3 linked regions of the Coturnix japonica genome follow. The protein of the gene in region 2 purifies or fractionates together with the protein of the main gene of each other region. This does not show direct contact. Links are inferred from orthologs where the notes say so. Each region holds a gene or a part of one and is shown on either strand. Other genes may lie near its edges.

What was found.
Region 1: the proteins of RNGTT (region 2) and POLR2D purify together in Homo sapiens (affinity purification with mass spectrometry; 3 studies listed by BioGRID and IntAct, with this or other methods). This does not show direct contact. The link is inferred for Coturnix japonica from reciprocal best matches to the Homo sapiens genes RNGTT and POLR2D.
Region 3: the proteins of RNGTT (region 2) and PPP4R3A purify together in Homo sapiens (affinity purification with mass spectrometry; 3 studies listed by BioGRID and IntAct, with this or other methods). This does not show direct contact. The link is inferred for Coturnix japonica from reciprocal best matches to the Homo sapiens genes RNGTT and PPP4R3A.

Annotation. Positions count from the first base shown.
Region 1 is NC_029524.1:1,664,677-1,668,244, reverse strand, and holds POLR2D (DNA-directed RNA polymerase II subunit RPB4), read right to left. Parts: upstream 2,408-3,568; 5' UTR 2,353-2,407; coding exon 2,280-2,352; intron 2,208-2,279; coding exon 2,027-2,207; intron 1,795-2,026; coding exon 1,699-1,794; intron 751-1,698; coding exon 672-750; 3' UTR 565-671; downstream 1-564. UniProt on the Homo sapiens protein: Core component of RNA polymerase II (Pol II), a DNA-dependent RNA polymerase which synthesizes mRNA precursors and many functional non-coding RNAs using the four ribonucleoside triphosphates as substrates.
Region 2 is NC_029518.1:69,078,640-69,083,000, forward strand, and holds the start of RNGTT (mRNA-capping enzyme), read left to right. Parts: upstream 1-1,502; 5' UTR 1,503-1,659; coding exon 1,660-1,723; intron 1,724-3,384; coding exon 3,385-3,494; intron 3,495-4,361.
Region 3 is NC_029520.1:40,252,215-40,256,291, forward strand, and holds the start of PPP4R3A (serine/threonine-protein phosphatase 4 regulatory subunit 3A), read right to left. Parts: upstream 2,843-4,077; 5' UTR 2,439-2,842; coding exon 2,297-2,438; intron 1-2,296. UniProt on the Homo sapiens protein: Regulatory subunit of serine/threonine-protein phosphatase 4. May regulate the activity of PPP4C at centrosomal microtubule organizing centers.

The sequences.
Region 1 (3,568 bases), on a different chromosome or scaffold from region 2:
ACTGGGAGCGGGACAGACGCTCTACTCAGGCCCCAGCAGCCGCGCACGGCGCAGCGCTGCCCCACCACAACACGGCGCTCACAGCCCACATCCCTCACCCCGCGGACAAGGCCGGGCCCGAAGCGCCGCGATCCCGCCCCGCTCCAACCTGAGCTCGGCCTGAGCTCGGCCTCCCTCCAGGGCCAAGGCCTAAAAATGGCGGAGCGAACCGCGCTCTCCGAGCCCCACTCCCGCCTCACACCGCACCCAGCCGAGCTCACCGTCCAGCCGGCGTCTCCCACCGCGCCCTCGCGGCCCCGCCGCTCGGCTCGGCTCGGCTCTTCGGCCCCGGAAGCCGCCGACGCCGCCTCACGATCCCCCGCCGCGGCCGGCCGCCATCTTCCTGCCCCCACCAGCGCCAGGGGCGGCGCATGCGCACCACGATAAGACGCTGAGCGGCAGGGAGGCCGCTCCACAGCCTGCGCATGCGCAATCGGAAGCCGCGCAGCCCTCAGAGCGTCCACCTTGTCCCAGTACAATCAGTGTATTGCAGAGATCTTCATAAATATGACAGAACACAGAAGCTTAATTAGAAATATCTTTTAATATCTTAGAAACATCTTTTTTAATTTACGCTAAGGGGAATAATACAAAACAACTGAGCGTATCAGGGCAGCTTTTGGTGCTCAGCTTCAGTACTGGAAGCTGCGTTTGGTCTGAATATCGTCAAGAATCTGCTGTAATTCCTCATCTTCAAACCGGCCCTCGAGGCTGCAAGGTAAGAACAAGGTGGGTACATTAAAGCTCGTAGGAACAGCCTCCCCTGTTCCCCTCTGAATTCATTTCACACCCATGCAGAGCCTCCTGTTTATGTGACAGAACTCCAACCTTCCCACAGCTCAGTGTGGAATGATTTCAAGTCATTGTACCAAAAGGTCAACCCGGGTGCAGGCCTCATGCTCATAAGCCAGTCCAGATTTGCTATGAAGAATGTGAGCAAAATACCTCAAGTTGTACCAATGGAGGTTTCAATTAGAAAGAATTTCTTCACAGAAGGGGTGGTGAGGTGTTGGAACAGGCTGAGCAGGGAAGTGCTGGTTGCCTTTTGTGGAGGTATTCAACAAACGTTTGTACAACTTAGAAGATTCTATGAAATCTTAGCATACAAGGGGAAAGCTGTACTTCAGATGAGTGTCTCATTCCTCCTCTATCTCAGGGTACGAGGTAACAAATGATGAGACGACACTGGAAGATCTCCCTGCCCCATCTGCACATTGTCCACCCAGCGGTTCAGAGGGACACTGCTGTTTGCTCCAACAACAACCAACAAACGCAGCTGGCTGGGCTGACAGCCCCAGTCTAAGCCACTGCCCAGAGATGTGCTGGAATCCCCACTTCTGGAGACATCCAAGGCCAGGCTCTGAGCAACCTGACCCAGCTGTGGGTGTCCCTGTTCACTGCAGGGGAGTTGGAGCAAATGGCCTTTAATGGTTCCTTCCAACTCCACGATTCCATCACTCTTAATCCAGTAAATGTTATCTAAAGTGCGTTAGGGATATTTAGATTGCTTCACTGTCAGATCAATGGGTAAGTGAAGAAAAACTGAGATGGAAGGTTTTCCCATCAGCAGAGCTGGATTATGGAGGAGGCATCTGTCCATGGGCAGCTTTACATCACAGGGCAGTACACCACACTCCTTTTAGGTATATAAATGCTCACCTGGGAATCAAAGCTTTGGCTTCCTCAGCAGTCTCAGGGCATAAATTGGCTAAACACGCCAGTTCAAACTTATGGAGCTTCTTCTGGAGCAGCAAGCTGTGAGGAAAGCCAACAACAAGACAGATAAGCAAAGCAGCATCAAGGCAAGCAGACAGCACACAACTCTGCTTTTTGACACTGCATCCAAGTTTATGAAGGAAGAAACATTACAACAGTGGATAGGTAAAAAGACAGACACAGCTGTGGGAAGCCCAGGAAACGTCAGTAAATCTCAGCTCCATCGAACAAGGCTGATGTTACGTATCACAGCCCAAAGCCTCGCACCCACCTGCGGACGCTGGCGATGGTCTCCCTGTTCTTGAAGCGGCTGAACCGCGCTGTGTAATTCAGGGTTTTCATGAAGACTTCGGACAGCTCCTGCTCATCCTCCGCGCTCTCGTTCTGCTGCTTGCGATGCTCCAGAAGCATATGGACCTCTGAGTTCAGCAGGGTTTCTGCCGTTTCGAATTCTACGTTGGAACAAGCAAACGTCAGTGTTTAAAACACGGATCCAAACAACAGCACGAGGTGTCGCCGCGCACCTTTGGGGAAGACGAGCTGCGAGGCGTCCTCCTCCACATCCGCAGTGCGCGGGTCGCTGCCGCCCGCCGCCATTGCTCACCCGGAACTGGAAGACATGGCGCCCGGAAGCGCAGCGCTGTGAGTGCCCGGCGCCCAGCAGAGGGAGCGGCGCCTCAGGTGGCTCCAGCTGCGCTGCACGGCGCTGTGAGCACCCAGCGCCTCCATCTTGATGCCTCTGAGGGAACGCAGCGAGTGATGGCTCCAGGAAACAACCCACAGCAGCATTACTTCTGGTGCAGTGTGGTAAATACATGGAGGTGTGTGTGGGAGGAGCATGGATGGCAATAGCAGAACACAATAGAAGTAAGGTTCCCTTCTTTGGCCTACTCAGGAATAATCCATAGACAGCTTAAAGCTTCAGGCAGGCTGGAAATGAGTGGGTTCGTCCTGGCACTGCTAGCAAAGTAGTGTTTGTAGTAGTACTTTCCCTTGGGAACACACATGAAAGTGCCCAACCAGCTTAAGACTTACAGTAATCATCTTAGGCTGCACAATGTCACCCCATGCCCTTAAAGAAATGCAGAAATAAATGGCTGGAGGATTCACTGTGAGGCCACTCCTGCTCTCCTAACGCACATCTGTGCCGGCTGCTGTGCTTCCTGCACCCTGCAGGTGGGTGAGCTCCACCAGGAGCTGCAGGATCAGATCTGAGCTCCTTAATGTTTGTTAACTCCAGACGAGCGTGGCAGAGAAGCGAACTAAAAACGAATTAGCTGAGTGGTACAAACAGAAAGACACTCAGGAAGATAGTGTGGAAATAGAACATCTAGTGAATGAGGCTATTTCAATTACGTTTACAAGAAAACAAGGAAATCATAGAATCATAGGCTGGCTTGGGTTGGAATGGACCTCAAGGATCATAAAGCTCCAACCCCTCCCCCCCCCACCACCACAGGCAGGGCCACCAACCTCCATATCTAATACTAGATGAGGCTGTCCAGGGCCACATCCACATGCCAGATTGATGAGAGAAGCCTTTTAAAATCATTTGGAATCCCAACAGCTTCTCACATACCCTTTCACCTCAGAACATCCTGATCTTCAAGCAGTAGGTAGCTTGCAGTCTTGGTTACAAATTTAACATCTGTTGTTCCCCAGTGATCTCTCCTACTTAAGTACATGAAAACTGAAAGGATTCGGGGAAAGCCACATACCTACAAGAGCATAAAGGTACAGCCAAGGAGGCGGTGGTGGTGGCTAACAGCTCCCTGTCACTGCTGTGCTTGGTTTCAGTCTCAGGTTTTAGACA
Region 2 (4,361 bases):
GTTTGCAGACACACAGCTTTCTGATTCCTTTCTAGCACGATGTCCAGTTCAGGGACCTGGATTTAAAGTAGCTCCATCTGAAGCTCTCTGCATCCTCCCTGCCTATGCAGAACTATATTCTACAAACACTAATACCTTAAAGGCTTGTGCCTTTAATTTCCCATAATGAAGCCCTGAAGGGAAATTTAAGATTCACATGAAGACTTGAAAGCAAGTTGCATCTATTAGTCTGCGAGTTTTATTACTCTGGGTGTACTCTGTGCTCTACTAGAAGTCTGGCTTGTCTTCTGTTGGAATTTCTGTTAGGAACTGTATCACAATCTTGCATTATGGAACAGCTCCAGGAGCTGATTAGACTGGCTTCATGCTGTTTCCTGTTTAGTTTGGATAGGAGAATTAACTATACTTCAGCTTACATCATGTTATGTCTGTGAGACTGTGGTGCCCCCTAATGTTATGAAGATTACAGACTGGTGATTTTGTTGCTGAACTCTCAATGCTCTCTGCAGGAAGAACACTGCAAATGACATCTCCAATATATCAAAGAACTTGGTTTGAACAACCCTTTTTGTTATTTGATACACTCAAGGGTTACAATAATTCCTTTTAAAGTCTTATTTTCATTTCCAAACACGGAAGAATAATTGATTTGCCTTAGAACTCAGTTTCTTCATTATTTCCTGACACCAAACAGGTGGACGTGCTTTACAACCTGTTAAGCCATTAGCATTTTCTTTTGGCTTCACAGAATCACAGAATGACCCGGGTTGGAAGGGACCTCAAGGATCATGTAGTTCCAACCCCCCTGCCTGGCAGGGCCACCAAACACACACCTTTACTAGATCAGGTTGCCCAGGGCCCCGTCCAACCTGGTCTTGAACTCCTCCAAGGACGGGGCATCCACAACCTCCCTTATGGAAGAGCTGGTGCATGCTCAGCGTGTTTAAATGCCTGCATGATTAGGTTCTCTAATTAGCATTAAGTGCAAGCGCACACTTGTAACAGCAGTATTAAGAATGTGGGAACTGTGTGCCCTCTGCTGGTATAACAGGAGAAGTGCCTCGTTCGCAAAGAAACAACTTAAGAATTGTCATCCTACGCCTGTAACTTGTTTCGTAAAGTCTAACGTGGTAAAGCTCAGCGTGACCTACACCAGCAGAACTCGTAGTAGCTGTGGAAATAAACGTGAGGCATTACTTTCGGGGCAGCCCCCCGTAGGCGATAAGCCGGTATCCCCGCTTTCACTTTCAGTTCGGCCTCCAGCGCCCCCTGCCGGCCGCTTCCCGACCTGCGCTGCTGGGAGCAGCTGGGGAAGGAACAGAAACGAGGCGGCCGTGGAAGCGCAGGGCGATGTGGGTCGGGAGGGCACTGCGCACCCCTGGGTGTCAGCACAACCGCGGGCTGGTTGTCACCCGCTGGCTCCGGGCTCATTCATTCCTGCCCCGCTCTCCGCCCCGGCTCACCCGGCATGGCGGCGCCGGCAGCGCGCACCCGGAAGCGGAAGCGGTGGCGGAGCAGTGCGGGCCGGGGCCGAGGCGGAGCTGGGTCTGAATGAAGGCGCCGCGGGCCCGGGGCCGCGGGCGGCTCTGAGCGCCGAGCGGCCGCTCCCTCTCGCCCCTTCCTTCCCCCGCCCCCTGTGCCCTCGGCCCGGGCCCGGCCATGTCCTACAACAAGATCCCGCCGCGCTGGCTCCACTGCCCCAGGAGGGGACAGCCCGTGGCAGGTGAGCGCCCGGCCCGGCGTGGCTGCGTGGCGGCGGCGATCCCCGCCGTGCCCGCTCCCTTGTGTCCCCCCCGTTCCACCCGACCCCCGTTCTCCAGCCCCGCCGGGCGCTTTGTCCCGGCACCGCGTGGAGTTTGGGCCTCCCGGAGCCCCCAGCTCGGAGCTGGTTCGGAGCTGGAATCTCTGCCTCGCGTCTCGGCTGCAGGGAACAGGGCGAGTTGTCAGCCTTTGACCACCACCAAAATAGCCCCATGAATCTTTACTCTTTGTTTTCCCTCTCAGCACGTTCTCCGTCTCTAGAATTAGTTAGTTTGGTTTGTGTGGGGTTTTTATGAGTTTTTCTTATTCTTTGTTTGTTTTTAAAGCCAGGACTGCTCAAAAAAAGAAAAAAATAAAAAAAAATGGCCAGAGTAAGCACGATTGTAGTTCATCAGCGTGTCATCTGCTGAGCTCTGAATGCACGGGCTGTGCTTGTTCAGGAACTGCAAGGTGGCTGTTCTGCTCTGTGCGCTCAGACACCACAAGTTAATGCATAAAGATAAAGGGAACTGCTCGCTTTGTTTCTTTGGCTGCTGGATCATAATGCGTTCTTATGTCACTTCGCTTAATTTTTAGGCATTTAGTGTGTGTGCAGCTACCAGAAATCACAGAATTGTAGGACCTCTAGAGATCATCGAGTCCAACCCCCTATCATAGTGAACCAGCAGTCTGTCATGTTTTATGAGCTCTGGTTACTGGTGTTCTACATCATAACATCACATAGGGCACTGGGACTTAAACACAGTCTTGCCATGTGTTTTATTTCTTATTCTGCATTCAAGCCATCTACCTATTTTAGCAAGATGTGATTTTTAGACTTTCCTGGAGTTGCTGCTGTCTCACAGGTGCTTTATATTCCACTTTGGATCAGTTTTTCGAACACATTCGCATGCTTCTATGCATGGCTTCATTCCCTTCTAATAGCATGTCAGTACTATTGTCACTCAGCAAGGTTTGTCTGGCTTCTGTGGGCTAACAGCCACCACGTGTTTGATTGCATCCCTCTTATGCTTGTGGCATCTTTAAGTTCTAGGTGACCTGAAATACAAGAATCAGGGAGGTCTGGAGCTCTTCTGTTTGTGTGACTGAGCTCATTCATTCAGAAGTTGGGCACCTAAATGGTTCCAAGGCTCGGGGTTTCGGTATGTTCCCAAGTAGTACTAAATGGAGCCCGTTGAAATACTCAACACTTCCACGGAGTGAATGGGTGTGTTGGGATGGCAGTGTCTGAGCAGTGAAGTGAATTAGAACAGTTCTAAGCATGCTCGATGCTTTGTTGGATTCACTGCAAAGAGAGATTTCTGCATTAAGATCATCCACAGTCAGGATTTGGAGAATCAATCTGGGCAGTATAAGCTATGAGTTAGTGTGGAAGGAGGGGTTAACAGTGTGAGAGTGCTGCTTCTTGATGGTCTGGTTGGTTTCCCTCTTATTTGGGTGACATTCTGTGAACTCAGAGCTCAGAAAAGCTTCCAGTTAGTTGTTGTTGATACTTTACCCGCAGTTACTTTTCACTGTAGAAGAACCTATAGAACTGCTTGGTGTATTGCTTTGAAAACACTGAGTTGCAAGTGTGCATATACATCAGTATGTATATAATGCTGCCAAATCTGTGTTTCCTAGGGAAGTTTTTACCTTTGAAGACAATGTTAGGACCAAGATACGATGATCAGGTTGCTGAAGAAAATCGTTTTCACCCAAGTATGTTGTCCAACTACTTAAAGAGCCTCAAGGTAAAGTTATATTTTCTATTTGTTGAGATGTTACTTTTGTTACTAGCATTCAAATACTGCTTTTCAGGTTTAAGAAAAGAGTTGTTGATGGTTTTCCTGGAGACACCTGTACAGAAACATGTAATATGTGTGTGTAGCAGAAATGCTAAACCATGGCTTGAGTCAGTGATAAAGCACCGGGTGGGGAAGCAGGGCCAACCCAGATCTATGCATCTACATTCTACTTGGGCTCCTCTTTTATCTAATGCGGTGTCTGACTCCAATCAGCTTTAATGGGCACACTTAAATTTTCCAAAAGTTAGCCTGTTCATTGCTTAATGTAATATAAAATCATAGAATCATAGAATTACCCAGGTTGGAAAAGACCTTGAAGATCATCAAGTCCAACCGCACCCTAACTATAGTACCCTAACTCTAACAACCCTCTGCTAAATCATATCCGGCCGCCGTCCAACCCTGTCTTGAAGCATCCTCCAAGAGGGTCATCACAACCTCCTGGAGCCTTTTATCCAGGGCTAACCACTCTCCTAGTGAATGAATCTTCCCCCTAACATCCAAACCTAATCGTTCCTCTTTAACTAAACCATTTCCCTACTGCTATTATCACCACTTTCGACAGAGTTTACTCTCCTCCTGGAGTAAGTTCCCTCAGGTATTGAAAGCCTTGCAATGAGGGTCACCCCGCAAGCCTTCGTCTTCTCCAGGCTGAACAAACCAACGCCCTCAGCCTTCCCATAGGGGAAGGTGCTCCAGCCGCTGATCAATCTTGTGGCCTCCTCTGGACCCTTTCCAAATATCTCCATGTCTTTTTTGTACCAAGGGCTCACACCTGGACACAGTACTCAGATGGGGCCTCAGCAATAAGCA
Region 3 (4,077 bases), on a different chromosome or scaffold from region 2:
GCCTGAAGGATGTGCCAGCCTACCCAGCCAGCCACATGAGATCAGCTGTTCACGGCCTGCAGACAGTGGAACCAGAGTGGGGAATTTCCAGCATGGAGGGAAACCGCTGTTCACAGCCCCCACTCAGGAAGCAGAGCCCTCAGCTTTGGTCAGATCCCAGCTTCCCAGCCAGCTTCCTGGAGCACATCAGCAAGAACAAGCAACGTGCACAGGATGGATCTCAGCACAAATGCTAGGAAAAGCTAGTTTATAAAAGGAGGAAGGAAGAATTTCATTGTGGAATGAGGAGGAGCTGACGAAGAGACAATACAAGAACAAAATGGAAACATAGAAGTAGTGGTATATAGGTCAGGTTCCTAGTGCTTGCACAACTTTGGGAACCAGAAGCTACTGAGTTTTAGCTAAAAAAGCACATGAGGGAACACAAACTGCACAGTACCTGAAACACTTGGTTTTATGTTTAACATCGCCTTTTCCCAAATAATTTGCTCATATTTAACAATGATAGCATTTGCTTTCATTAATCCACAAATCAGATTTTGTGAGGTGTTTACACAAGTTAGAAAAAAACCTGGCCTATTAATAGAGCACACACTTATCCAGGCCGGACAGATACTACTGACTAAATTAAGAACCTACACACTGCACGTTACTTGCTGCTCTTGAAGCATGTGCAGAGACAAGAGCGATGTGTGGTGTGTGCTATTGGGTGCATTGCTGAGCACTAAGAGCAATTAGCACGTGTGAGCACACTGTCCTGATCAAAGTGCCTTAGTTACACAGCACAAAGTAAAGACTTCATGTCTGTATTAGAATCCTTTACAGCAAGTTATGCTTTCCATCTGACAGACTGTTCACTTACAACAAAGCTGGCAGCAACAGCCCAACTGTGGCTCCAATCAGTCTTACCACTCAAAGCCAATGAAGAGATCTCAGTATGAATGGACTATTTCTTCACAAGAAACTCACACACTGCACTCCTTTTGCTTTCTTTCCCAAGAGGAACAAAAAATAAGTAAATTAGAAAATTGATTAGCACGTGACAGACAGGACAGTTTTGAACCATCGCTAACAGATCTCCTGTGCACAGCAAGGGCCGTATCCACAACAAAATACATGGCAACACAAGGTCTGCCTGAAAGTACAGTGAGAATCTCCTCACCTCCCTCATGTTCAAATTAAACAAAGTCTCTTTCCATTCTGAGTGTTTTCTCTCACACTGGAAAGCTGGCCAGACTAAGAAAGCAGCTTCTTCACTGTAAAAAAAAAACCAGAACCTCAAATTCATATAATGGCTTGATTGAAAGGGGCCTTGAATATCACCTAGTTCCAACCCACAAAATTATCACCTATTTAATTCTTTCAAGTATAATTAAGAAACTACAAACCCCTGAGATTCATGGTTAATCAGCAGATCAAACATCAAAAACCTGCTCAGATTCAAGTTCATTCCTCCACATCAGCTTATGATCTGTTCGCTGCACAGATTTTGGTAGCTTGAAAGAACTTTAGCAAATACTGAGAATCAGTGATGCTCAACACGCTTCTCATCCTAGTTTCTACAATGGAAAAAAAAAATATGGAAGAAGAATGAAAGGTCATCTGTTAGTAGTCTCAATCCACTAGACACAGCTATTGTAGACACTACTGCTTGGCCTGGAGTAAATTTTGTCATAAGAAGCAAGGGAAGTGGATAATGCATCATTCTACTTACGGTGAGATCTAGAGCTGGTCAAGAACTGAAAGATACCACTTCATGAGGAGAAAAAAAGAAGTGCCATTCTGTCCATTGTCTTTGCTACTACAGCTGTGCTTTGCTAACTGTTGATAGATGCTGGAATGTTTTAATTCGTAGAAGAAATGAGAGAGTGCAAGAGAGCAAAGAAATGGATATTAGACTCATTTTTTAATAAGTCATCAGGTGGCCAAAAACCACGATTCAAGTCTGAGCATTTCTTCCACGTGGGGTTATTTCCAGAAACACCTGAGGCCAGGTAGATCACGGCGATCAGTTTTGAAGCCGGGGCACGCCGGGCACCTGGACATGGATCACGAGATGCCCACGCCCGCACAAGGCTTGTAACCAGACCTGACCGCGTTTGTACCAAGCGCCGTGTTCACCGTGAACCCGCTGCCTACTACGCCCGCACTCCATGGCGGCGAACTACGCCTGGAGCCTGCTTGCTTGTAGGAACCGCGTTTGAATTACACTGCGAAACACTCAGGCAGAGGAACACACAAAGCTAAGCCCGTGGCTTTGCAGGGCGGCACGAGGCCGCAGACGGCGCGCACTCACCATCGCTCTCCGCCCTGACTAGCAGGGACATGCCCTTGAGGCGCTCCACGTAGCAGGAGGAGACGTGCCCGGTGCCCCTGTCGTCCCATTGCCGATCCTCGTTCAGCGTGTAAACCTTCACCCTGCGCCGGGTGTCAGTCATCGTGCCGCCGGCACCGCGGCCACCGCGCCGCTTCGCGAAGGCCGAGGGAGCGTGAAGGCGGCCGGGGGCCGGGCCCCCTCACGGGGGGAACGGGAAGGAGGGTGGCGGCCCCACGCGGACGCGCCAGGAGAGCTCCTCGTCCCGCTGCTCAGCGCTCCGACCAGATCCTCATGGCCACGGAGGCGGAGTGCCGAGGAGCGGGGAACGACGGAGAGAAGCGCTGCTCCGGGTCCGGCCGACAAAAGGCGGGCAGAGCTCCACGGGGAGAGGCGGCGGGGAACGGAACGCGGACAAGATGCGGATCCGGAGCAGTGGAAGCGGCGTCCGGCCCGGGCTGAGAGCGGCGGGCGGCCCGGCGGGCAGGGCCCGAGCGGGAAGCGCCGAGGCCGGGCTGAGGCGGGCGGGAAAGGCGGGCGGGAGCGGGACCGCCCGGCCCGGCCCGAGCGCGGCTCTTTGTGCGGCGGCCGCCCAGGCCCGGAGCCCCTCACTCGTGTCCGTCACGGCAGCGCAGCGCGGAGCCGCCCTCTTTCCGCGGGGCCGGGACCGGCGGGCGCTGCTGGCCCGGGGCGGGATGAGGCGGGCGGGGGCACTCAGCGCCCCGGCTCCCCCATGGGCTCCGGTCGCAGGCGGCGGCTTCGCTCTCAGCCCGACACCGCCGCCATGTTCTTCTTCTTCCTCCTCCTCCTCTTCCTCCTCCCGGTGCGGCTGTGGCGGCTCGGTCCCGGCTCCTTAGCGCGCCCCGCGGCGTGGCCGCGCTCCCGGCACCCGGTGGCGGAGAAGCGCTCGGCCCGACGCTGCCGAGGGGGCGAGCGGCAGCGGCGCGACGCGGCCCGTCCAGCCCCGCTCCCTCCGCCTCTGTCTCCGCCTCAGTCACTGCACGGCCGCCATCTTGGTTTCACCTCTCACTGGAGGCGCGGGGTCTCCCAGCCAGCAGCGGCACGGGCCGCCGGCCGGCATTTAAAGGGCCAGCAGCCCCGAGCGGGCAGCGAGACGGGGCTGAGTTCTGGCACGGGGATCCGCGCCGCGCCTGCACGGCGGCACCTCTACAGCCCTACCGTGCAGCCCTTACCGTGCAGCCCTTACCGTGCAGCCCTTACCGTGCAGCCCTACAGTGCAGCCCTACAGTGCAGCCCTACAGTGCAGCCCTACAGTGCAGCCCTACAGTGCAGCCCTGCCGCACTCCCCGCCCCGCCGGGATTGCTGTCGGCGCCTGGCCCGGTCCGGACGTGGGAGACGCGTGTGTGTGTGCGGGTGGAAAAGCGCTGCTCGGTCCCACTCCTCGGGAGCAGCTTTAACCCCTCGCTGCACTGTGACCCCGTATCATGGTTCCGTGGAACACACGGACACGGCTTCCTGAAAAGCTTTTATTGTTATGATCTTTCTTTTTTTTTCTCTTTTTCCCTACTCCAGTATAGCTGAAAAGCAAGAGTTAAACAGCTGCTGGCTGAGCGGCTGTTGGACCTCTACCGGCAGGGATAGGCTGTAACCATTGCAATAACAAACAGAAGCCGTTGAGCCCCTGGTTCTGCTGTTGCTCGCAGCGCCCAAACGCGTGTCTGACAGGCTGCCCTGCGAAGGGCGTGCGAGGCTGGCAGGGTGTGCAAACAGGAGGGCAATTTGGGCCCTGCTGACATACCTC